3 linked regions of the Pelodiscus sinensis genome follow. The protein of the gene in region 1 interacts with the protein of each later gene in a pairwise test. Links are inferred from orthologs where the notes say so. Each region holds a gene or a part of one and is shown on either strand. Other genes may lie near its edges. The genes, in order: TAX1BP1, PLEKHN1 and CXXC1.

What was found.
Region 2: the proteins of TAX1BP1 (region 1) and PLEKHN1 interact in binary tests that used the Homo sapiens proteins (3 or more experiments, as listed by UniProt). The two-hybrid records come from large-scale screens. The link is inferred for Pelodiscus sinensis from reciprocal best matches to the Homo sapiens genes TAX1BP1 and PLEKHN1.
Region 3: the proteins of TAX1BP1 (region 1) and CXXC1 interact in binary tests that used the Homo sapiens proteins (3 or more experiments, as listed by UniProt). The two-hybrid records come from large-scale screens. The link is inferred for Pelodiscus sinensis from reciprocal best matches to the Homo sapiens genes TAX1BP1 and CXXC1.

Annotation. Positions count from the first base shown.
Region 1 is NC_134712.1:196,219,431-196,227,088, forward strand, and holds the start of TAX1BP1 (tax1-binding protein 1), read right to left. Parts: upstream 3,072-7,658; 5' UTR 2,933-3,071; intron 1-2,932. Other genes in the region: HIBADH (3-hydroxyisobutyrate dehydrogenase, mitochondrial), read left to right, coding at 3,272-3,353.
Region 2 is NC_134733.1:14,661,402-14,668,366, reverse strand, and holds the start of PLEKHN1 (pleckstrin homology domain-containing family N member 1), read right to left. Parts: upstream 3,063-6,965; 5' UTR 2,778-3,062; coding exon 2,698-2,777; intron 777-2,697; coding exon 677-776; intron 1-676. UniProt on the Homo sapiens protein: Controls the stability of the leptin mRNA harboring an AU-rich element (ARE) in its 3' UTR, in cooperation with the RNA stabilizer ELAVL1.
Region 3 is NW_027465846.1:162,703-170,576, reverse strand, and holds the start of CXXC1 (CXXC-type zinc finger protein 1), read right to left. Parts: upstream 3,063-7,874; 5' UTR 2,935-3,062; coding exon 2,932-2,934; intron 2,423-2,931; coding exon 2,304-2,422; intron 2,062-2,303; coding exon 1,961-2,061; intron 1,870-1,960; coding exon 1,727-1,869; intron 1-1,726. Other genes in the region: synaptonemal complex central element protein 1, read right to left, coding at 4,759-4,803, 6,376-6,403, 6,791-6,880, 7,463-7,583, 7,847-7,874. UniProt on the Homo sapiens protein: Transcriptional activator that exhibits a unique DNA binding specificity for CpG unmethylated motifs with a preference for CpGG.

The sequences.
Region 1 (7,658 bases):
GCTGCGGTCTGGTAGTCAGGGATTCACAGCCCGCCATCGGTCCATGGATCAGTGGTTGGGAACCACTGCCTTGGGCAATCCCTACCTGTTCTGACATCATGCAGCATCCCAGAAGTGGCCAGCAGCAGGTCCAGCTCTTAGGCAGTAAGGCCACAGGGCTCCCCATGCTGTCCCTACACTGAAATTGACTAGAAACCAGCCAATAGGAGCTGGGGCAGGCCAGTGCCTGCAGGTAAGAGTTGTGCGTAGCTGCTTGCATGCCTCCACCTAGGAGCTGGACCTGTTGCTGGCTGCTTCTGGGGCACTGTATGGTCAATGGTGCCAAGATAAGCAGGAAGCCTGCCTTTGAACCTCTGCTAACTAAAGGCTATGGGAGGTAAGCCCATTACCCAACCCTGTGCCCCAATCCCCTGCCCCAGCCCTGACCCCCCCAACCCATAATCTCCTCCACTCTATATCCCTCATCCACGACTCCATCTCATAGCCTGCATCACCAGCCCTAACCCCATCCTGCACCCAACCTCCTATCCCAGCCCAGAGACCCTCCTGCACCATGAACCCCTCATCCCCAGTCCCGCTTGACAGCCCTCACCCAAGCCCTAAACCCTTTCTTGTACCCCCAAATCCCTTATCCCCAGCTCCGCTGGGTCTCAGGCATCAACAATTTTCTTCAATTGGGTCCCCAGAAAAAAAAGTTTGAAAACCACTGAGTTTATTAAAGCTTTAACTTTATTGCCAAATGACCCTTAGTTCCTATACTGTATAATGCAGGGGTGGGCAATCATTTTTGTAGGGAGGAACACTTCACCAATGTTGTTAGTGGTCATGAGCCAGTCCCGGAAAGTGTGGGACCTCAGCTGGAAGGGACAGCTCCCTCTAAGCACCATGTGGGGGAGGAGGGTGAGGAGAGGAAGGAGACTTTGCATGCCCCCCCTCCATGGGGCAGGGAAGCACAGGAGGTCTTCTCCCACCCCGCCCCTCCCCCCCACTGTGCTAAGGGCATGCAGCACACAGAGGGAACTGCTAGCCATTTTGAACTGGCAGTTCCCTCTGGTGCCATGTGCCCCAACAGGGGAAGGGTCTTGACTGGCCTGGGGGGTGGGGGCATGGCAGGGTGGGCTGCAGGCCAGATGAAACAGCTTGGTGGGCTGAATCCAGCCCATGGGCCGTATCTTGCCCACCCTGATGTAATGTGACTGATGAAGGGGGCCTCTGATTACTACAGGGAACCAATGTAGGAAAAGATTTTTATCAGCTGTTTTATACACTTCATTAATGGATCTACTAATTCTGCCTTCTGATGGATTTCTACTCAATTAAATTACATTTTAAACAATATTATCTATATTGACTATGACAAGTGGAAAATTACATCTCTCCATCTGCAGAGGCCTATATGTGGAACACAATATGAAATAAAATGAAGAAGTAAAAGGAAAAGTCACAGTTCACTGGCCTGGCTACACCTTTGACTTCTTTCTGCCCTTTCCAAGTACACCCCTCTCAGGCTTTAGCTCTTATACACCTCATCCCTTTACCTACCCTGGGATGAAAACAGACTCCCATGATTCTCCCATTCTTAGAACCAGTCCCTGGGCAACAGTACCCTGTGTGCCAATTGTGATTCCTCAGCAGGTCTAGCTAGGCAATATGAAACTCTTCCCCTCAGGTGTGGTCACCAGTTGTAAAAACAACAACAGAACAGCCTTTTCAAAACAAAATATTTTAAAGTTCAACAGTAAGAACAAAACATGAGAAAAGGGACTATTTATCTGTACATATAAGATCTAGTCCTTCATATTAATTATAATTATGCTACATGACCCCACCAGCTAAAAGGGAAAAAAAACAATGTGGGCTATGTAATATGTAAGATTTTATGTCCAAGAATACTTGAAAAAATAACTGATATGTTAAAATACATGAAAATACTAGGAGAGGGGTGAATTATAGGGCTATATTAGGGTGGCATTTAGAGAAGCAGGATAACATTTCAAGTGTTTATTTTAGACACCAAACAGTCTAAAGCATTTTCTTGAAGGGGAATATTCAAGCTAAAAGCTGCCACAGCAAGAGAGAAGAAGGGCAGGGAAAAACCTGAGTGCGTAACCCTAATGCGATGCTGCCTGGAGAAAGCATAGACTCTCTGATTAATCACTGGCTGGAGTTATGCAACTACTCTGATCCTCTCCTAAGTACAGAAGGTAGCTTGATCGGAAAAAGGTAAATAAGAGCAATTTGTTCCTGCAGGGTGAAGGAAGGTCCACCAAGAGGGCAAAGGCAGTGAGTTACAGTATACGTGCCTGTGATACTCTGGCACCAGGAATATTCCTGGCCCGGGTCTGGGGTCCGCCAAATTCACTGTCACTGCCTGCCATGCCCTGCATCTCCTGGCATCTTGCTGCCCCACAGGCTCTGTCCATCCCCCAGTGTTTCCATGCCATGTGCTTTTCCAGCAGCTGAGAGCTGGGGCAGCAGCACCTCGAGATCCCTACTTCTTCCAGGAGCCATTGCCAGAGGATGGGTCCCTCGCAGAAGCATGGTATCCCCTAACCCCTCCTCCCACTCCCTCGTGTGCCCCACTCCTTCTAGCCCCTACACTCTTTCCCCCTGCCTGCTTTCCCCCAAAACTCCCTCCCAGACCCAGGAACCCCACCCCCTGCACCAGGCCAGAAGCAGCACCCAGACTCCATCCCGGAGCTTGCACCCCTGAATTCCTCCTGCACCCTAATTCCCTCCCAGAGCCTGTACCCCTTCCCCACCCAAACGGCCTCCCAGAGCCTTAGGCAGGTGGGGGCTTGAGTGAGGTAGGGGCTCTAGGCACCACCAATATTTGTACAAAAATGCTGCTTCTGCCAGAAGGACGGGGCGGGAGGGGGCACCCCACTGGGCAATGAAAATACTGGCAGGGACACAGGGCTACCCCACTCACCTAGGGGAGTAAGCGAAGGCGCCGGCTGCAAGAGGTGCAGGGAGCCTCACCTTGGCCCAGTCCCGCTTGCTCACGAGCGGGCACCACCCCCCCAGACCCGCCCATCCGTGGGCGGTGGAGCAGGCACAGCTGCCTTGTCTGTCATGGGGTTGGAGGCGAACCCGGCAGGTCACTGGCAGGAAGATGGCCCCTCTCATTGGTGTGCGGCTGCCAAGGCCACGCTGTGGTTGGCTACGCTGGCTGCCACTCGTCTTCTTCCCCCGCCCCGTCCACGGTCACAGGCAGAGAGGGCCAGGCGGGGGCGGTGTTTGAGTGGAGGTCACGTTGAGTGGAGGCGGCATGGCAGCGGTGTTACTGCTCAGAGGCTCTGCCAGGCTCCTGCACGCGCACTGGAAGGTGCATGCTGCCGGCACGGCAATGGGTAAGCACCCGCCTCGCCCTCTGCCTGGGGATGCGGGGTGACATTTTCGCAGGGCGAGCTGGGGTTGCAGAGCGTGGTCCCGTTGTGTCCAAAGGCCGGGCCTCCGTCCTGAACCCGCCCGTGGGGTGCTGCTTCCTACCCCCTCGCTAAAATGGCATGTGGGTCAGTCAAGTGACAGCTCTGCCCCACAACTTCTTATCACGGGAAAGCAGGGGCTGTGGGGTGGGTGGTAGTTGGAGGCGCACGGGAGTTGCACGCCGGATTTAACGAGTGCATCAGTGTGCTTGGAGGACTATTTCCCCACCCCTGACAAGCGTCTAATTCCTCAGATGAAACATGCATTGAGGTTTTGAAAGCCCTGATAAATGTGTTTTCTAGCACGCGAGGATTATCACCTGTGTTTTGCACCTTTTACAAGTGTTGTGCACTCTATTAAAGCCATACAGGTTGTAAAATTATATGAGGCTTATATCAATACTTAATGTTATGAGTAGCTTAGTGTAATAAATATTTTACATGTTTATTTAAAATAGCATATGTAGATTTTAAAACAGCCCACAGAAGTTTATGTGAAGCTAGTGAGTTAAAACATGTTCTTCATATCTGTAATCGGTACTCATACTTGTTTGCTTTCTCTCTGATTATATTTCATTATTTTTGAGCCAAAGCTGAACCCAGAAGCACTTTTTAAATATTCAAGGCCTTTATATTACACACATTTATGTCCATACTTCAGTTTACAGACAGGAGGAGTTCAGCTGAGTGTGAAGTAAAACAAGTGTATATGCAGGATTAGTATAACGTTTCCCTTGTCTCCTGCCTTTGCTTTTAAAAGGACTCTGGTGATTTAAGGTCCATATTTTGGTTTGAAATTGTTCTATAGTATGTAATAACAGCTAAGATTGTTATAAGTGAAATAAATGGCAGAATCTTTCTGTGGTTATTTTAGATTTGTTTATTTTCTGCATTTGACACCTTTTTCTGTTTCCCTTGTGTTCAGTTAGTTTTCCCTGTGCTTATTGGGGGTCTTTCACATACTGTAGTATATGGAAAATATAAGTGTATTTTTAAAAAGGGGGAATGTGACTTTAGAACCACAAAATATGCCAGGAGGCTCAGCAAAAGGTGTACTGAAACTACTATATTATTTTTAAGTAAAATTTTAAGCTTAAAAGGCCCTTCATAATTTTATTTTTTTAGATCAATAAAAACAAATGTCTCACTCTCTTAATTTTCTGTGTGTGTGTGTATGTGTACATATACATATTTTTTTCCTGTGGGATGATAGTGACATCATCATGTCACTCTGCATCCTGCCTGCTCCCTCTTCCCTCCCTTTGCCCCCAGCCTCCACACAGAAAGAACAGAGCAGCCCAACTGTGCAGGGACACCCCATGCTGGGGGGGCCCATCCCACAGACCTGCTCGGGCCTGATTCACCCCATTACCCGATCTGTGCCCACCCAGCAAAGCTAGATATCCCAGATCCCACAGAGATGAGATAAGCTCCCAATGCTCTCCCCTCCCTCAAGGGAGAAGAATCAGAGTCCCAGGATCTAGGGATGTAACATCCCAGTTTATCAGTTAAACATTAGGTTAAACATTTAATGGGTTAACAGACTATGCAAGATCTGAACTGGGGCAGTCCCTGCTTGTGCAGCTCCCATCCCTACACTGGGGATGGCTGCTAGCTCCCAACCCCACATGGGAGCTGGGACTGCTGCTGGCTTCCAGCCCCCACTGGAGCAACCTCTGTCCACAGAGGCTTCTCACGGACAGAGGCTGCTCCACAGAAGCAGACCCTGCCTATAGGGCGCCCAGGATGCGGGAGTAGTGCCTACCTGCAGCAGGTCCTCTGAAGCACTGGACCTACTCCCTCCCCCGCACATGGCAGGCGGGGGGGCTGCTCAAGTCCCCACCAATAACCAGTTAACCAGACCGGGTAAGCATCACCTGTTTAGTGTGGTGCCTACTGCCTAAACAACCAACCTTTCACATCCCTAGCACCCGTGCTCTACCGTACCAAATTCATGACCATGAAAAATGCACCAAAGACTGTGAAATCTGGTTCCTCCCCTTCTTCCCCCCCCCCCACCCCCGAAAAAAAAATCTGATCTTGTGTGTGTTATGCATACTATATAGATTTCACGGGGAATCAGATTTCACAGGTGTTTCCCAAATTGGGGACCTGATTTCTAAAGAGAGTAGCAGGGGGAATTACAAGTTTATTTGGGGAGGTTTGTGGTATTGCCACCCTTACTTCTGTTATGCCGTCAGAGCTGAGCAGCTGGAGAGTGGTGGCTGATGACTGAGGGCCAGTTCTCCAAGCAGAAGCACAGTAGTTAGGGTGGCAATAGAATACCATGCCATTCTTATTTCTGTGCTATTGCTGGTGGCAATGCTGCCTTCAGCAGCCATAGATCTCTGGCTCCTGAGATCTGAAGACAGCACCACTGCCAGCAGTAGTGGAGAAGTAAAGGTATCTGTACTGCAACACCCTCTCTGCCCCCTGTGCGCATGCACACACACACATGATAACCTTGCGACCACTGCACATCTCCTTTTTGGGTCAGGACCCCCACAATTACAACGCTATGAGATTTCACCTTTAAATAGCTTAAATAAATAAAGTTACCTTTTTTAAAAATCCAGCGACCATGAAATCGTCGGTATTGCCTTACCTAAGTCACTGTCTATTATGGTTGAACAGGCAATAGAGGGTGGGAAGGCCTGAAATAGGACAAGAAATAGAAGGTTATTGTATAAAGTAGCTTCAGGGGATAGCCGAGTTAGTATGTACAGGATAAACTTAAAAAACAGCAAATGGTCTGGTAGCACTTTATAGACTACATGTTTTGTTAGATGGCATCATGAGCTTTTGTGGGCACAGCCCACTTCTTCATACAGCTCACTACAGGATAAAGTAGCTCAGTCAGAAGCACAGAATTCATTCTTGTGAAATTTCAAGGTCCTAAAATGTTTCATTTCTAAACTGAACCCTCATACTTTATGAAAGGCTGCATCAGTTGACATATTTCCTCTGGGCACAACCTTGTTAACTGCAGTTACGGAAGTACAGAGACAATGTTAAAATTAAAATTATAAAAACCTTTTCTTCCCAGTTGATGCAGATAATGCCCTTGCTGTAAAAAGCTTTTTGCTATCATTTCAGGCCTTTCATGTTCTGAAGGCTATTAAAATTGTTGTGGGGCCCTGTTGGCAAAGGGAGATGTTATTTCAAGCTGCGATGTGTTTGGCAGAATTATTCAAAGGAATTGTGAAAAAACAGCACATTTCTGAGTAGTGTGCTATAAAGGAGACCCTGAAAAACACGTTCTTTTCTCTATTAGGCTATCTGGAGTTCTTTCTTTAAGGAAAAGTTTTCAGCTATCAGCTACCAAAATTTGGTCAGAATTCCTGAGGGAAGCAACAAGATGCTATCTTAGCTCATTCATTGATTCTCCTGTTATTGCTGCATGCAAACATGCAGGACTCTACCACATTCCTCCTCTCTGAACATGCAACACATTATGTGCAAAAACTGACACCTCACTCATACTTGGGAGAAATGATTTTGTGATCTCCAAACTTCATGAGCTGTGTCAACTGAATTGTGCTAGTTTTGGAAATAGAAACTCCTGGAGTGCACTGTTTCCAGGTGGCTCCATAGATTGGCAAATTATAAGCCCTTACTACTAAAAAGAAAACATTGGTTACTTTATAGTAACAATACCATTCACAGCGTTTAATGGATGATTTAAATTCCCAGTCACCACTTTGAACTCCATGCAGTAGGATGGCAGGGGAGGGGAAGTGCCAAGGTGCTGTGATATAATCCAGCAGTAGTGAACACGTTGGTAGCTGGGGCTTATCATAACTTTTGTATTTCTCCTTAGAGCAGTAATTCCTCTTATTATTACAACTATTCTCTGCAAATTGGAGTCATACCTACTGTCCTCTGCAGTGGCTTCTGCCTCCATCAGGTTTGCCGTGAGCTGTTCCTGTGATGTAGGAGGGGAATTGAATGGCTCTTCATAATGCAGACCTAGAATTTTCCATTGATCCTGAACTACAGTTTGCTCTAGGTCTGCGTTCATAACAGGTGCACCAAGTGACTCTTACTCGGAGCTTGCTGCTGGCTTCAATCAGTCCCTCTACTAGATTCAGGAGCCACCTAGGCACCATGCCAGTCATCACAAAGATCGTGGGTTCTGTACCCAGCATGGGTGGTGGATGAAAGTGATGCTTGGGGAGGCAAGCTCCCAAACCTGTGACTCCACCCATGCCCCACCCCTGCTGTGCCCAG
Region 2 (6,965 bases), on another chromosome or scaffold:
GTTCATCTGTAATTGGGGCAGTCTACCACCAGGTAGATGGAGAGCACCCAGTCCAACAGAGTCCTGATTTTGGTTGTGGCTTGTAGATGTGACCATAATACCAATCAACACTACTGCTAGTCACATAAGCTCTTCTTCCATTGAGAATGCTGGGAATGAGCCATGCATCTGCAAAGTTTGGATGTGCCTTAGGCAGGCTTGCCCCTACCTCTCCCCCTCCTGTGGCTGATTGCTAATACATTTGCAGCTCCATCTCATTCCAGCATGGGAATGAATCGCTCTCTTTTGTACGCTCTCCCTAGTTTCCCCTCATCCTTACTCGACCTAGAAGCAAACGACCTAAGAGCAGGTGAGGCTCTGCCTACCTCCCTGCCAGCACTGCAGATTCCAGATTTTCAAGTTGATGACAGGACTTCGTGATCCCCACCCACAGGATGCTGAATTAGAGAACTGGAGTGGTGAGCTAGCCTGCCTGGAAGGAGATAGCTCTCTGCTTCTGATCCCTGGTCTTCCTACAAATATCCCCCATCCCCAGCCTCTGATCTCCCTCGCCTGGACACGTGCAGAAATGCCTGCTCATCTCATACACATGGGAGCTCCTATTCAAGTGAACCCCGCTGCAGGTAAGAATAACTTCCCCTCATTCAAGGGTATGGCTGGATGGGTTTGTACTTACCCTCCCAGGAATATACTGCAGTATTTTATCTGCCGTTATGTCTCTCTCATGCCCTGATTCAATACCAAAGAGGCTGGCCAGCTTTTTCTTGCTGTCTTGTCTGCAAAGAAAACAAACACGCTGAGATCAAAGCTGGGACATTGCAAACCCCCCACTCAGAAATAAGGAAGCTGGGGAGCCAAGCAAGCAGTTTGTCACAGGCCTTCTAATAATCCCAGCCCAATAAACAGCTGCTAATCAGCCTGCAAGAATGTTAATGGCTTTGCATGGCACTTGTTGGCTTGGCTTTGGTTTATTTACTTACCTTTGCGTCACCAAAATGATCAACAAGCCCTGTCTGCATCTCCAGCCTCGCCTCCCAACTCCCCCAGGCAAAAGATGGAGCCTGCGCTGGAAGTGTCAAACCAGCACTCACCCACTCCATTTTATTCCATCTTGTGCCTCTCCTGATGCTGTCCTCTGAATCCCAGTAAAATTCCATCCCTGTGCCTGGGGGCGCACACCCACACCCGTGTTAATGCGCACTGCTGCAGCTCCCCAGCTGCAATTTCCCAGGCAGGTCACGGGTGCTGCTTTTTTCAAGGCTTCCTCTCTCTTTAAACCACATTGCACCACACTGTAACACTGGTCATTTGCAATGGACTGAAGAGCTCATCCTGCAAGCAGCCAAGTGACCTTAGAGCTCAGTGGGGTCTATGGGAGGCGCACTGCACAGGATCTGGGCCGGCATGCTGCACACTTCTCGGGGCCAGTGATCTTGGGTCTGATTCTCCTTTCCCTTGCATCTGTTTTACTCCATTGCAACGGCCTCCCTTTAGAGTAGGGGTGAGCAAATACAGGCCCACGGGCCGGATCCAGTCTGCCAGGGTTAGCCCCTAGCGGACCCCCACACCACCATATTTACCTGCACTGCCACAAGTGTGTGTGTGTGGGGGGGGGGGAATCACAGATCCCACTGGCCATGGATCACTGTTTCTGGCCAATGGGAGCTGCGATTGCCCATACCCATGGAGGTACAGGTAAATATAGTGGCAGCAGCCCACCAGGGGCTAACCCTGGGGAACCCCGGCCCGTTTTATTGCCCCCCTTATGTTACTGCTGATATAATCAATGTCAAGAAGACAAGAAACACTCCTGACATCCTGGCTGTTGGTTTGTAGAGCCCTGAGGGTTTCGGAATGCTCTCTTGAACTCCAGGGTGCAAGATAATACAACAACACAATGCTTTCTCCAGCTTCAGACCACTTAAAAGAAAACCACTGCCCTCCACAAAGGCCTGGCTCACGCTATGGTCCGGATCAAACATGCCTGGAAGGCAGCAGCCTGGGGAAGGTCCCACTTCACACACACACATGGGTGGGCATAGCAGGAAGCAATATATGGTGTTGCTGGGATCAGGGGACTTAGCAAAGGGGTGGGTGCAGAGAGCTGCAAGACTTCTGATACTTGCATGGGACTTTCCTAGCGGCTCCGTGGAAAACCTCAACGATCTGCTTCTCTCAGGGGTTATGCTGCTGCCCATCACCCTGGTATCGGTGCGCCTTCCAGGTACCACTGATACCAATACCAAAGTCCCGACGAGACTTCCTGGAGTGTCTGGCACGTCCCCCTCTTCAGGGTGACAAGGCTGGGAGACATGATGCAACTAGACATCCCGGGGGGGAAGGGAGGGGTTGGGGTCTGTCTGATCCTGCTCAAGCTCAAAGCAGCAGCAGCCACCGGCACGTTCCCCGGCGAGCCACGTGGGGACGAGCTCTACTTTTCCCAAGGAAAAGGAAAGACGCCGGCCCTGTTCTTCCTCGCGGGGCCGCCGCCCGCCGGAGCCGTCCCACGCCTCTTCTCCGAGCCTGGCAGGAACCCGAGCTCGCCCCGGGCTCTCCCACCCCCCGCCAGATCGTGCGCGTTCAATGCACATTTGGCTACGCCCGAGTGTAGCCCCCCGCGACTGTCCGGAGACGGGCTGGGGAACCGAGGGGCGCTTTAAACCAGGGCCAGAGACACCCCCCCGAGCCGGTACTTACTCTTTCTTCAGGGAAGGCTTCCTGCTGAAGGAGTATCGGAAGCGCCCCGCCGGCTGGGGGACACAGGTCGTGTTCCCCATGGGGACTGCAGCGGGGCGCGCCAGGCAGGGCGAGAGGGAGCGAGGGAGTGAGGCGCTGGGAGCCGGGCGAGCGAGTCATGCAGACATTCCCAGCCCCACTTCCGTCCGCGGTGACTCTTGTGGGTGTGATCTGTGCGCAAACAGCCTTTTGGCCCAGGGCTGTTCCCACCGGGCTCTCCTCGCTACCCCCCCTCCCCGCAGCTCCACGCCGCACCGGGAGGGACCTGCGCAGCCGAGGAACCCCACAAAGCCTGGGTGGCCCCCCCTGGCTCCTGGGCTGGGGGACGGGGGTTTTAATCCCGGCGAGATTCCCTCGGAGGACGCACGTGGGTCTCGCGGCTGCAATCGGATCACCCAGGCAGACCCCTGCACAAGCCAAGGCGCCCGGACACACAGCGTCCGGCCAATGCCTGGGGCTCGTGTGCCTTTATTTTGCGGAATGACTTGGTTTGCAAAACCCATGGCGCTCTTGTAGAAGCATGTCCCACTGCTGTTCCTAGCGCCAAAAGTGCTGGCTCCCACAGGGGGGATTTCTCTTTTAGCCCTCCTTTGGGCAGCTAAAAACAAATTAAACAGTGAACCACAAATTAGTGGCAGCTTCGCTGCATGTTCAGCTCTGGAATCAATTGCCTAGGAAGGCTGCGGAATCTCTATCCTTGGAGATATTTGAGAGCAGGTTAGACAAACACCTGTCAGGGATGGTTTAGATCAGGGGTGGGCAAGACAGCCTCCGTGTCAAGTCTCCTCCCCCCACCAGGGGTCCCAGTCATCAGAGGGAATCACAAGCTGCTTTCTCTCTAGGGGTGTGTCTAGACTACAGGGTTTTATCGACAAAGGTGGACTTTTGTTGACAGAATGATACCTGCATCTACACTACCGCCGAGTTCTGTAGACACAACGTCGACAGAACTCGGCAGTTTTGTCGACAGCAGTAAACCTCATTCTACGAGGAATAATGCCTTTTGTCGACAGAGTTCTGTCAACAGAAGGCGTTATTGCATCTACACTGTGCTTTGTTTCTACACTCTCATGTCCACAAAACAGCTTACTTTGTCGACAGAATTGGATGTAGTCTAGACGCTCTTTGTTGACAGAAGCTTTGTTGACCTTATCTGTCGACAAAGCCTCTGTCTACAAAAGCCTGTAGTCTAGAGTACCCTAGGTGCTGGAGGGGGGAGGTGGGGAAAGACTTCAGTGCTCTCCCCCACACCCTGGCCAATTAGGGTCTGTGGGTGAAGCTGCACAGGAAGCCTCCTGGCCCCACCTCTTCCTCCCGAGGCCTCGCCCCTTCTGGGGCAGCCCTCAGAAATTTGGGAAGTGGCTCTCCTTCACACGTTATTGTCCATCCCTGGTTTAGATGGTGCTTGGACCTGTAAATGCAGGGGACTGGACTTGACCTCTCAACGTCCCTTCCAGTTCTATTATTTTATGATTCTGTGTGAGAACCTTAGTTATTTATGTACACGCAAGCATAAACTTCAAACCAGTTATACAAATACACACGGTGCTTTAAAAGGGGCTGTGACAGGGCGCTTGCCCTGCACTGGCCCTTTAAGGGCAGACTCCGGCCTGAACCAGGGCCAGGGAGTTTAGCCCAGCTGAGGCTGTACTAGTCCATTAGGGCCCAGCTGGGAGCTATAATAGAGGATGGGCTGCTGCTGTGAAAGGGGAGTAGTGAGAACCTGGCTGGGGAGGGAGGTGGCTCAGGCTCCCTGGAGCTAGGGCAGGGCTGGGGGAGGCCAGGCAGGGCTAGGGGAGCTCTGGCCAGCAAATCCTCAGACTGCAGGGCTTGAAAGAAGGCCCAATGAAGGAACATCGACCCCCGGAAGGGGGGCTCAGAGACAGACTTGGGCACTGCTGGAGGGCAGTGTGGCAAAGAGGATGCCGCAGCCGGGAGTAAAGAGGGGAGACACCACCCCAGAGAAGGCACCCTTTTTTAGTTTTTTTAATTGTATCCTTTGGTATATATGGTTGTGACTACTTTCTTCCACTATTTGATCTGAGGAAGTGGGTCTGGCCCACGAAAGCTCATAATCTAATAAACCATCCTGTTAGTCTTTAAAGTGCTACATTGTCCTGCATTTTGCTTCCCCTACCCGCTGAGGGAGCCAATTCCTGAGGACAGATGGCAGGGGGGTTACGGTGGTGAGTGCACCCCCTTCACAGGGGCCAACTTCACAAAGCTCAAAGTCTTTAGGAGCCAAATCAGCAGGAAGTAAGAATTTGAAGAGAGAAAAGCATGTGATAATTGGGGACTGTTTAAAAACATTTACTTAGATGGCCAAAAGACACAGGCAGGAAAAAATTTAGACTGTAAGCTCTTTGGGGCAGGAACTGTCTTTAAGAAAACAAACTGTTTTTTGTAGTTGCTTTCACTTTCCCTCTAAACCAAACAAAAATAACTTCTCAGTATATAATAAATGGGGAAAAGGGTAAGATGACTCTACATTAGAAGCTAGGAAGCACGCAAAGACACAAGGAGGAATCTTTAGCTAGCAGAGAAAAAGATACTAAGGAGGTTTTGAAAGTATACTAAGAACAAAAGGAGTCCTAATAGGAGTATTGGTCTATTGCTGAATGAAAATGGTAGCTTTGACAACAGCAGTACAGAAAATAAATATTTCTGTTCTATGGTTAGAAAAAAGCCAAGATGATGACTTTTTTTCCATTTCATTAGTAACTAAAGAGAATGTTAAACAGTAGCTGTCAAAACTTTCAAATTTTGATATTTTCGAATCAGCAGCCTTAGTAACTTGCATCCAAGAGTTTTAAAAGAGTTGGCCCAGAAGCTCTCTGGCCCATGAATGTTGCTTTTCAGTATGTTTCAGAATGCTGGGCATGCTCCAGAGAAGTAAGAGAAAGCTAATGTGCTTATATTTAAAAAGGGTACAGGAGATAATTTGTGTAATTGTAGGGCTGCTAGCCTGACATTGCTTCCAGGCAAGATAATGGAACAGCAGATATGAAAATTGATTAATGAAGACTTAAAGGAGGGTACTATATTTAATGCTGATCAACATGGGTTTATGGAAAACAGATCTTGTCAGACTAACGTGGACTTTTTGGAGGAGATTACTAGTTTGGTTGACAAAGATCATAGTGTTAATGTAATAGATTTCTGTAAAGCATCGGACTTGGTCCTAGAAAAGCGGCAAGGAGTTCTGTGGCACCTTATAGACTCCTTGCCGCTTTTGCAGATTCAGACTAACATTCCTAGGACCAAGTCAAGTATCAGAGGGGTAGCTGTGTTAAACATCATGTAACAGGATAATGGTGTAACCCAGAGGTGGGCAATAAAATTGTGATGGTTCACCAGGATTAGCCCCTGGTGGGCCGTTGCTGCTGTATTTACCTGCACCTCCACAGTTACGAGCGATCACAGCTTCCATTGGAGCTGTGCCTCACACCCACAGAGGTACAGGTAAATATGGCAGCGTGTGGGCCCATCAGGGGCTAACCCTGGCAGACCAGATTTGGCCCGTGGTCTGGTATTTGCCTACCCTTGGTGTATATTGTGAAAATCTCAGAGCCTGCAGCAAAACCTCCCTGGGAGTGGAGACACCAGCCCCTGCCACAGCGAAGCCTCCCCCCCGTAGGTCAGCCCTTGCCCACTCAGCTGCCGGGGAGGTGGCTGAGTGTAACCAAGACCATCAACCAATAAGCTGAACGGTTACTCGGTTATACACTAAGATCCCTACTTGGCCCAGCATGGTATTTTAATTTAAGAACGAGAAAAACAAAATTAACGTGGCCCTCATTACATGGATTCAAAGCTGGCAAACTGATTGATCTCAAAATGTAATTGTAAATGGGGAATCCTCGCTGAGCCAGTGTGTATCTGGTAGGGTATCATAGGGATAATTTTTTTTGAGGCTGACACAGAGTATGGGAGAGTGGTAAGGGGACAGGTCTCTGGTACAGAGCGATCTGGATCACATGATGCAAGCAAACAATGGGGGCAAGCAAACAATATGCATTGTAATTGCTCCTAAAAGTACAACCTTACATATGGATATAAGAATGTAGGATGTATGTGCAGGATGGGGACTCTCTCCTGGGATGCCATGACTCTGAAAAGGACTAGAAGCCATGGTGGTTAATTAGCTGAACACAAGCTCCCAGGTAGATGCTGTGACCCAAAGAGCTGACGTGATAGGTGGATGTATAAAGTGGGCAGTATTGAGCATC
Region 3 (7,874 bases), on another chromosome or scaffold:
TCGACTGTCCTTTTACTTCCCGGCAGCACTGAGATTTTTAGCAGTGCCCGAGCGGAGAGCAGCCCACCCAGGGTCTATTCCAGTCAGGAGACATTTCCCTGGAAATCAGACAGCCCAGCTCTTCCGCAGGGCTGTCTCCGCCCCGAGCGTATGGCTTGGAGATGGCTCTAGCCTCGGTCAGCTGGAGCACGTGCTCAGCCATTGACTTCCCGTCTCCTTCCCCCTACTCCCTCAGCCCCTAATTTTCAGCAGGGATCATGGCAGCTCCCCCATGGACGTACTCAGGGATTTTCAAGCTCCTAAATTGATACCTGACACCCCACCTGCCACCCAACCCAATCATGGATGCCAAGACCGGCCGGGGGGAGGGGGAAAGACCACAGGATGTGCCGGGAGCAGGCATTTGAGGATATTTACAGCGTAAACCCAAGGGGTCTCTCTCCCGGGACTCTTTCATTCTCACACCCAGCTGGCGAGCAGGGAGAATACTTCCTGACTTAAGAGGCCAGATGAGTGTCCACAGCTGTATTTGTAGCAGTGCCACAGCCAATGAGGTGGGGTCGGAAATTCACCCAGTGCCCACGGGTCTCACCCCACCAGCCCATGCTCCAGAACCGTGGTCTGAGAATGGGCCAAGGAACCTGGCAGGCCCGTTTCATAGACTCCTAGACTTTAAGGTCAGAAGAACATAACATAAGAACATAAGAACGGCCGTACTGGGTCAGACCAAAGGTCCTTCTAGCCCAGTATCCTGTCTGCCGACAGCAGCCAGCACCAGGTGCCCCAGAGAGGGTGGACCGAAGACAATGATCAAGCGATTTGTCTCCTGCCATCCCTCTCCAGCCTCTGACAAACAGAGGACAGGGACACCATTTTATCCCCTGGCTAATAGCCTTTTATGGACCTAACCTCCATGAAATTATCTAGCTTCTCTTTAAACGCTGTTATAGTTCTAGCCTTCACAGCCTCCTCTGGCGAGGAGTTCCACAGGTTGACTACACGCTGTGTGAAGAAGAACTTTCTTTTATTAGTTTTAAACCTGCTCCCCATTAAAAAAGGGACCATTATGATCGTCTAGTCTGACCCCCTGCACAGTGCAGGCCACAGAATCTCACCTACCCCTCCTAGAATCATCCTCTCACCTATATCTCAGATATTGAAGCCTTCAAATACTTTGAAGGCCCCAAGATGCAGAGAATCCTCCAGCTGTGATCTGTATCGCATGCTACAGAGGAAGGAGAAAAACTTCCAGGGCCTCTGCCAATCTACCCTGGAGGAAAATTCCTTCCCGACCCCAAATATGGCGATCAGCTAAACCCTGAGCATGTGGGCAAGACTCACCAGCCAGATACCCAGTTCTCTATAGTAACTCCTATCATCCCTCCATTGAGCCTGGGGGCTCAACGGACGAGAAGGGAGCACTGCCACTCCAAACGGGACGGATTGCCCAACTCCGAGACGCAGCCACTTCTGGGGAGTGGCCACGCATCAGGGCAACACCGGCGCAGCTCTCTGCCCAAGGAAATCCGACCACGTTGCAGGTTGTTTACCCTTAACTCTGCCCCTTAACGCTGGGGACGGGCAGCAACTGGAGCCGGAAGGTGGTTGGAGCTGCTCTTAGAACCCTGCCGCTCAGTTCCCTGGCAACGCAGCCCCATGGGCTCATGGGACAGAATCCCACCGGCTCCCTCCACCCCCAACCTAGCACCCTTTCCCGGGCACTTACTTTGGACCCACGGCTCTGATCCAGGGCCAGCTCCTGGGCTTTCTTCCTCAGCTCGTCTTTCTCCGCCCGATCCCGCTCGCCCTCCCGCTCCTTGTCCTTGGATTTCTTGTGCCGGTATCGGATCTCCAGGGCCGGGTTCTTATCTGCGGAGGGGAGAGGAACGCACATCACAGCCAGAAAGGCCAGGGGTGCCGCCCCCCTCCCCTCCCCGCGCCGCCCCGCCCCCGTCCTCACCTCGGCACTGCAGACAGTACCATTCCCGAATGGCCTTCGCCATCCTCTCCGTGATGTTGATACAGCTGCCATGGAACCACTCGTTGCAGTTGTCACAGCCGCTGCAGGGGCGGGAGAGACGGGAGAGTCAAAGCGCTCCCTGTGCAAGCCCCTGCCCCACTCCCCCCGCCCTGCCTGCCCCAGGAAACAACCCCCTGCCCAGCCCGTGGGCCAAGTGCCTCCTGGGGCTCCCCTTGCAGGGGCGGGGAGTTACCCGGCCCCCTTCCCAGCAGCAGCAACCTAGGACACAGGCAGGGGGACCCAGGCGCCGGAGCGACCCCTCGCCTCCCCGGGGTCTCCGTACATCATGAAGCAGTTGATGTCCGGCTTGCGGCAGATGCAGTAGACGGGGGCGTTCTCGCCATTCTCCGACTTAGACTCCTCGCCCACCGCGGCCAGCTCCGGGTCGGAGAACTCGCTGTCCTGGGGGGGGGGGGGGGGCAGAAAGGGCATCAGAGAACTCAGGACTCCCAACCCCTCCAACCATCAGACCCTCCCCCCAGGGACCCCAGGAGTCCTGGCTCCCCCCCCCAACCAGCAGCCCCTCCCCCCCGAAACCCCAGGAGTCCTGGCCCCTCCCCCCCCGAGATCCCAGGAGTCCTGGCCCCTCCCCCCCAGACCCCGGGAGTCCAGGCTCCCCCCCCCCCAACCAGCAGCCCCTCCCCCCCGAGACCCCAGGAGTCCTGGCCCCTCCCCCCCGAGATCCCAGGAGTCCTGGCCCCTCCCCCCCGAGATCCCGGGAGTCCTGGCCCCTCCCCCCCAGACCCCATGAGTTCTGGATCCCCCCCCAACCAGCAGCCCCTCCCCCAAGGAGTCCAGGCCCCTCCCCCCCGACCCCAGGAGTCCTGGCCCCTCCCCCCAGACCCGGGGAGTCCTGGCCCCTCCCCCCCCAGCCCCCGGGAGTCCTGGCTCCCAGCCCCCCCGCCCCTTACCATGGTCTCTCCCTTGCTGTGGATGGAAGCAAGACAACAGGCGCTCCTGGCCAGGAAGTCCCGACAGGCCCCCCCCCCCCGGGCGGCTACTTCCGCTTCCGGGGTCACTCTCCAACCCTGGCCAAAGGCGCCCTCGCAAACCTCCCTCCCCCGGCAGCCCGCCCATCTGCCCGCTTCCAAGATGGCCGCCCTGCGGCCTCTGGCGTGCCCCTCGCTCAGCTTCGGCCCGCTTCCAAGATGGCCGCCCCCACGTCCCAGAGGCGGGGGAACGTATCCAATATGGTCACCCCGTGGAGCGGGGACCGGCCACGCCCACTGGCATCAGCGCGACCTCGGCGCCAGGCTCCAACATGGCCGCTCCGGCGCCTCGTCACTGGCAGCATTGAGGGGGCGGCCATCTTTGACTCTGGCACAGCAAGGCTGGTTGAATCAAACTCAGATTCGCTAGATGGATGGCTAGTCAGCCAGTGTTAGGGGCTGGAGATCCAGGGCTGGATCCCAACTCTGGGCCACTGTCTGGGGAGGGGAGGGCCCAGGAGCCCTGGCTCCCAGCGACACAAGGCCCAGCCAGCTTGGAGGGCATGGGGGCTCCAGGGCACCCCTGGTGCTCCGTGGCCCAGCCCCGCTGCAACGCAGCTGCACACGCTGCCCCCCTCCTGGCAGCCTCTGCGGTTGTGCCTGCCCTCCTGCAACTTCCCCTGGCTGCCATAGGCCCCTTTGGGACCCGCGCTCCACGCAGCCGTGAGCATGCAGGACAGTGTCTCCCCAACCGCGTACCATAGCCCCCCACCTTCCAGGGAGCAGGCCGTGGGCGCCGAGTGTCCGAAGTCTGGAGACTAGGAGTGCATGTCCCAGCTGGGGGGGTGCTTCTGTTCGTGGTCTCCCATGTGAAATTCACTTATTTCAATTCACCTTTGTTCTTTGCCTCCCTGATACCCTGCAGCAAGGAGTTCCACAGGATACACCACTCAGATGTGCACGGCCAAACACAGCCATATCCCATCTGCTATCCACTGCTCCCTCCCAGAGCTGAGAGCCAGGCCGAGAATCCACCATGCTCCTTGGGGAATTGGCTAATTCCTCTCCCCATTCAAAACGGATGCCTTATTCCCAGGCTGACTCTGTCCAGCTTCAACTTCCAGCCACGGGATCCGGTTAGACGGTCTCCTGCTGGCCCGTTATTAAATACTAGAAGATTTACCCAGCATTGCTCAGGTAGGTCCTTCAGGGCTGGGGCGTATGGGGCGTAGGAACCGGCGGAGACCTCACTGCTTGGGCGGTGGCCCCCCCGGGACTGGCCATGGTGGGGACCATGCTGGCCGGGTGGGATTCCCCGGAGCCGCTGCTGCCCCAGTCCCCATCGCTGGCCCCTTGCTGCCCCCCTGTGGTCATTACACTTATAACTGTCCCTGCTAGCAGCCCCCTCCCTTTCTATGTTCTGGAAAACTGTCGCATCCCGGGCACGTCCCCTTGTCCTGGCCTTGCGTTAAGTTCTGGGAAGAGGAAGCCGCCTACCGAATTTGCGGGTCCTAGCTCGTTCATTTAGGAGCTCTCAAACAAGCAGATGGATGGACAGACGGACTCGCTCGCTCGCAGGCGAACAAGCTCTCTCAGCAGACTAGTTCCCCGTGGCCCCTCCCCACGCGACCCCCATCCTCCGCAGAACCGGACCCTTCGCCCCTGCCCCGAGTCCAATAACCGGGCACAGCAGGGGCGTAAGCAGGAAGTCTTTATTCACCACAAGGAGACGGTTGTGTCCAGAGGCGACGTAACTCCAGGCCGATTTCCGCTCTAGGAGCTGGGGTGCTTGCAGAGCGGCCGTGGCTTTTAGGCAGCTGTTTCCATGCTGGCTGAACTGCCCCCAGTTCCCTGCTGTGGGGCAGAGCAGGTGAGGGAGATTGGGGGGGTCACCGTGCCCCCAGTCAGGACGGTGGGTCACAGCTGGATGGGAACACACACTGGCACCAGGCATTGGATCCCACCCCAACAGCGAGGGACGGAGCCAGCCCTGAGCACTCTGGCCCAGGAATGGCTGCAGGAGCCAGCCCACCCCACTGCTGGGCATTTAGGGAAGGGCCGTGGGTCCCACCAAAGGGACCACTCAGCCCCACCAGTTATCTTGAGGGAGCCAGCACGGCCAAAGGAGTGTGAGCGACTGCTGAGCATCCCAGCGGAGGTGGGCACCAGCAGGAACTTGGAAAGCAGACACTGTAATCTCACACACCTCGCACCAGCCAGCCAGCCCTCGCACACCATGCACCAGCCAGCCACGCCTCGCACACCTCCTGCCAGCCAGCCCTCGCACACCTCACACCAGCCACGCTTCGCACACCTCCCGCCAGCCAGCCATGCCTCGCACACCTCGCACCAGCCAGTCACACCTCGCACACCTCCAGCCAGCCAGCCCTCGCACACCTTGCACCAGCCAGCCATACCTCGCACACCTCCCACCAGCCAGCCAGCCCTCGCACACCTCGCACCAGCCAGCCACGCCTCGCATACCTCCCACCAGCCAGCCACGCCTCGCACACCTCGCACCAGCCAGCCAGCCCTCGCACACCTCCCACCAGCCAGCCACGCCTCGCATACCTCCCACCAGCCAGCCACGCCTCGCACACCTCGCACCAGCCAGCCATACCTCGCACACCTCCCACCAGCCAGCCAGCCCTCGCACACCTCGCACCAGCCAGCCACGCCTCGCATACCTCCCACCAGCCAGCCACGCCTCGCACACTTCGCACCAGCCAGCCAGCCCTCGCACACCTCCCGCCAGCCAGCCACGCCTCGCACACCTCCCGCCAGCCAGCCAGCCCTCGCACACCTTGCACCAGCCACGCCTCGCACACCTTGCGCCAGCCAGCCAGCCCTCGCACACCTCCCTCCAGCCAGCTACACAACGCACACCTCCCATCAGCCAGCCACGCCTCGCACACTTCCCACCAGCCAGCCATGCCTCACACACCTTGCACCTGCCAGCCACTCCTTGCACACCTCACACCAGCCAGCCAGCCCTCACATACCTCCCACCAGCCAGCCAGCCACGCCTCGCACACCTTGCACCAGCCAGCCATGGCTTACACTCCTCCCACCAACCAGCCAGCCACACCTCTCACATCTCCCAGCAACACCTCGCACACTTCCCACCAGCCAGCCAGCCCTCGCACACCTCCTGCCTGCCAGTCTTCACTCACTTCCTGCCTGCCAGCTCTTCCTCTAAACTCCCCACCTTGTCGTCTCTCCTCTCCCCACTTCTCCATCCATCTCCCCATCCCAACATGCCCCTGCACCCGTGTCCTTCCTGCACACCCCTCTCTGTCTGTCTGTCTCTTGGGGGAATTCTGGCCACGTGCGGATGTGCCGGTCAATGGACTCGCCAGCCAAGCCCTGCCCCTTTGGCAGCACAGAGTCCTGTCAACAGTTTCCCTTTGTCGCCGCCATCCTCACCTGCTGGGCCTCCAGCTCGGCCGCCAGCCTGGAAGGGACCAGAAATAACGGTTCTATCAAACAAGGGGGGCACCTGGCTGGGCCCATCGCCAGGGCAGCGGCGCCCGTCACAGAGAGGAAGGGTTACACTGCACAAGGGGTGTGGCAGAGTCCTTCCTCCCAGCAGAGACTCACCGCCACTTCTGGGGGCCCGGAGCCACTGGACAGCGAGGAATCCCAGAACCCTCTGGGAACACAGGGAGAGTGGAAGGAGGGGGAAAGGACCCCGCCAGGTTGGGACTGGCCAGGGGAGTTTCCTGGACACACCAGTCAGAGCCTGGGGCGCCCAGCCCCACTGCACTAACCCCCTCGGTCCCACCCTCCGAGCCAGGCTAGAACCCAGGGGTCTGGGCTCCCAGCCTGCCCCCACGCTCACCTCTTGTACTTCTGCTGCAGTTCTGAGTGCCGGAGTGACGCTGCCTCCAGATGCTCAGTCGCGCTCTTGTTTTCCTGCTGGAACAGCTGCCTGGAGACAATAGAAAGCATGGAGCAGCCCAGCCGCCTCGGTGATGGACAGCAGCCATCCCCCGGCAAGGCAGGCTGTGCTGGAAACAGCTCTCCCTGCATTCACCTTGCCAACTGCCTCTCTGCCTCTGCCCACGCTGCCCCTAGGCACTCTCCCCACTAGCCCAGATGTTTGCTTTCACGCCAGCACCTGGGCTGTCCTCACTGCTCCAGAGAGTACCAAGGAGTCCTGGCTCCCAGTGCTAACCACTAGACCCAGCTCCCCTTCCAAAGCCACAGAGAGAATCCAAGGAGTCCTGTCTGCCAGTCCCCCCATGCTGTAACCACTAGACACCTTTCCCTTCCTATAGCCAAGGGGAGAACCCAGGAGTCCTGGCTCCCAGCGGTAACCACTAGACCCAGCTCCCCTTCCAGAGCCACAGAGAGAATCCAAGGAATCCTGTCTGCCAATCACCATGCTCTAACCGCTAGCCCTCACTCTCCTCCCAGATCCAGGGGTGGGACCAGGCATCCTGCTCGGGCTGTACTGATGCAATATGCTCCATTGGTGGCTGGCACAGGGCTGGGGGCGCTCCACACTCACAGGGCCGTGCTAGCCTCCTGGCTCTTCAGGAACATCCTCTCCTGGCTGAGAGCTGCCCTGGCCTGGGGCAGGGAGTCCAGCTGCTTCTCAACCTGGGCCAGGCTGGCTTGGATCAGCCGGTCTAGGGCAAAGGACAGAAACGGCGGCACGGGGCCACATCACTCCGGTGCAGGGGTCTCAGGGAGAAGGCACGAGGCCCGACTCCTGGAGCGAGACCCCCAAGATCCCCGACAGAGATCAGGGTCCCATTCTGATGGGCACCGCCCAGACCCCAACCAAGAGGCAGGTCCTGACCCACGCATCTGCACTCGAATGAGACAGCCCCGAGGGAGGATTATTCTGCCCCTTTCACAGCTGGGAAGCGGGGCCGGAGAGATTCGTCACCTTCGCTCAGCAAATGCTCCTTGCTCTC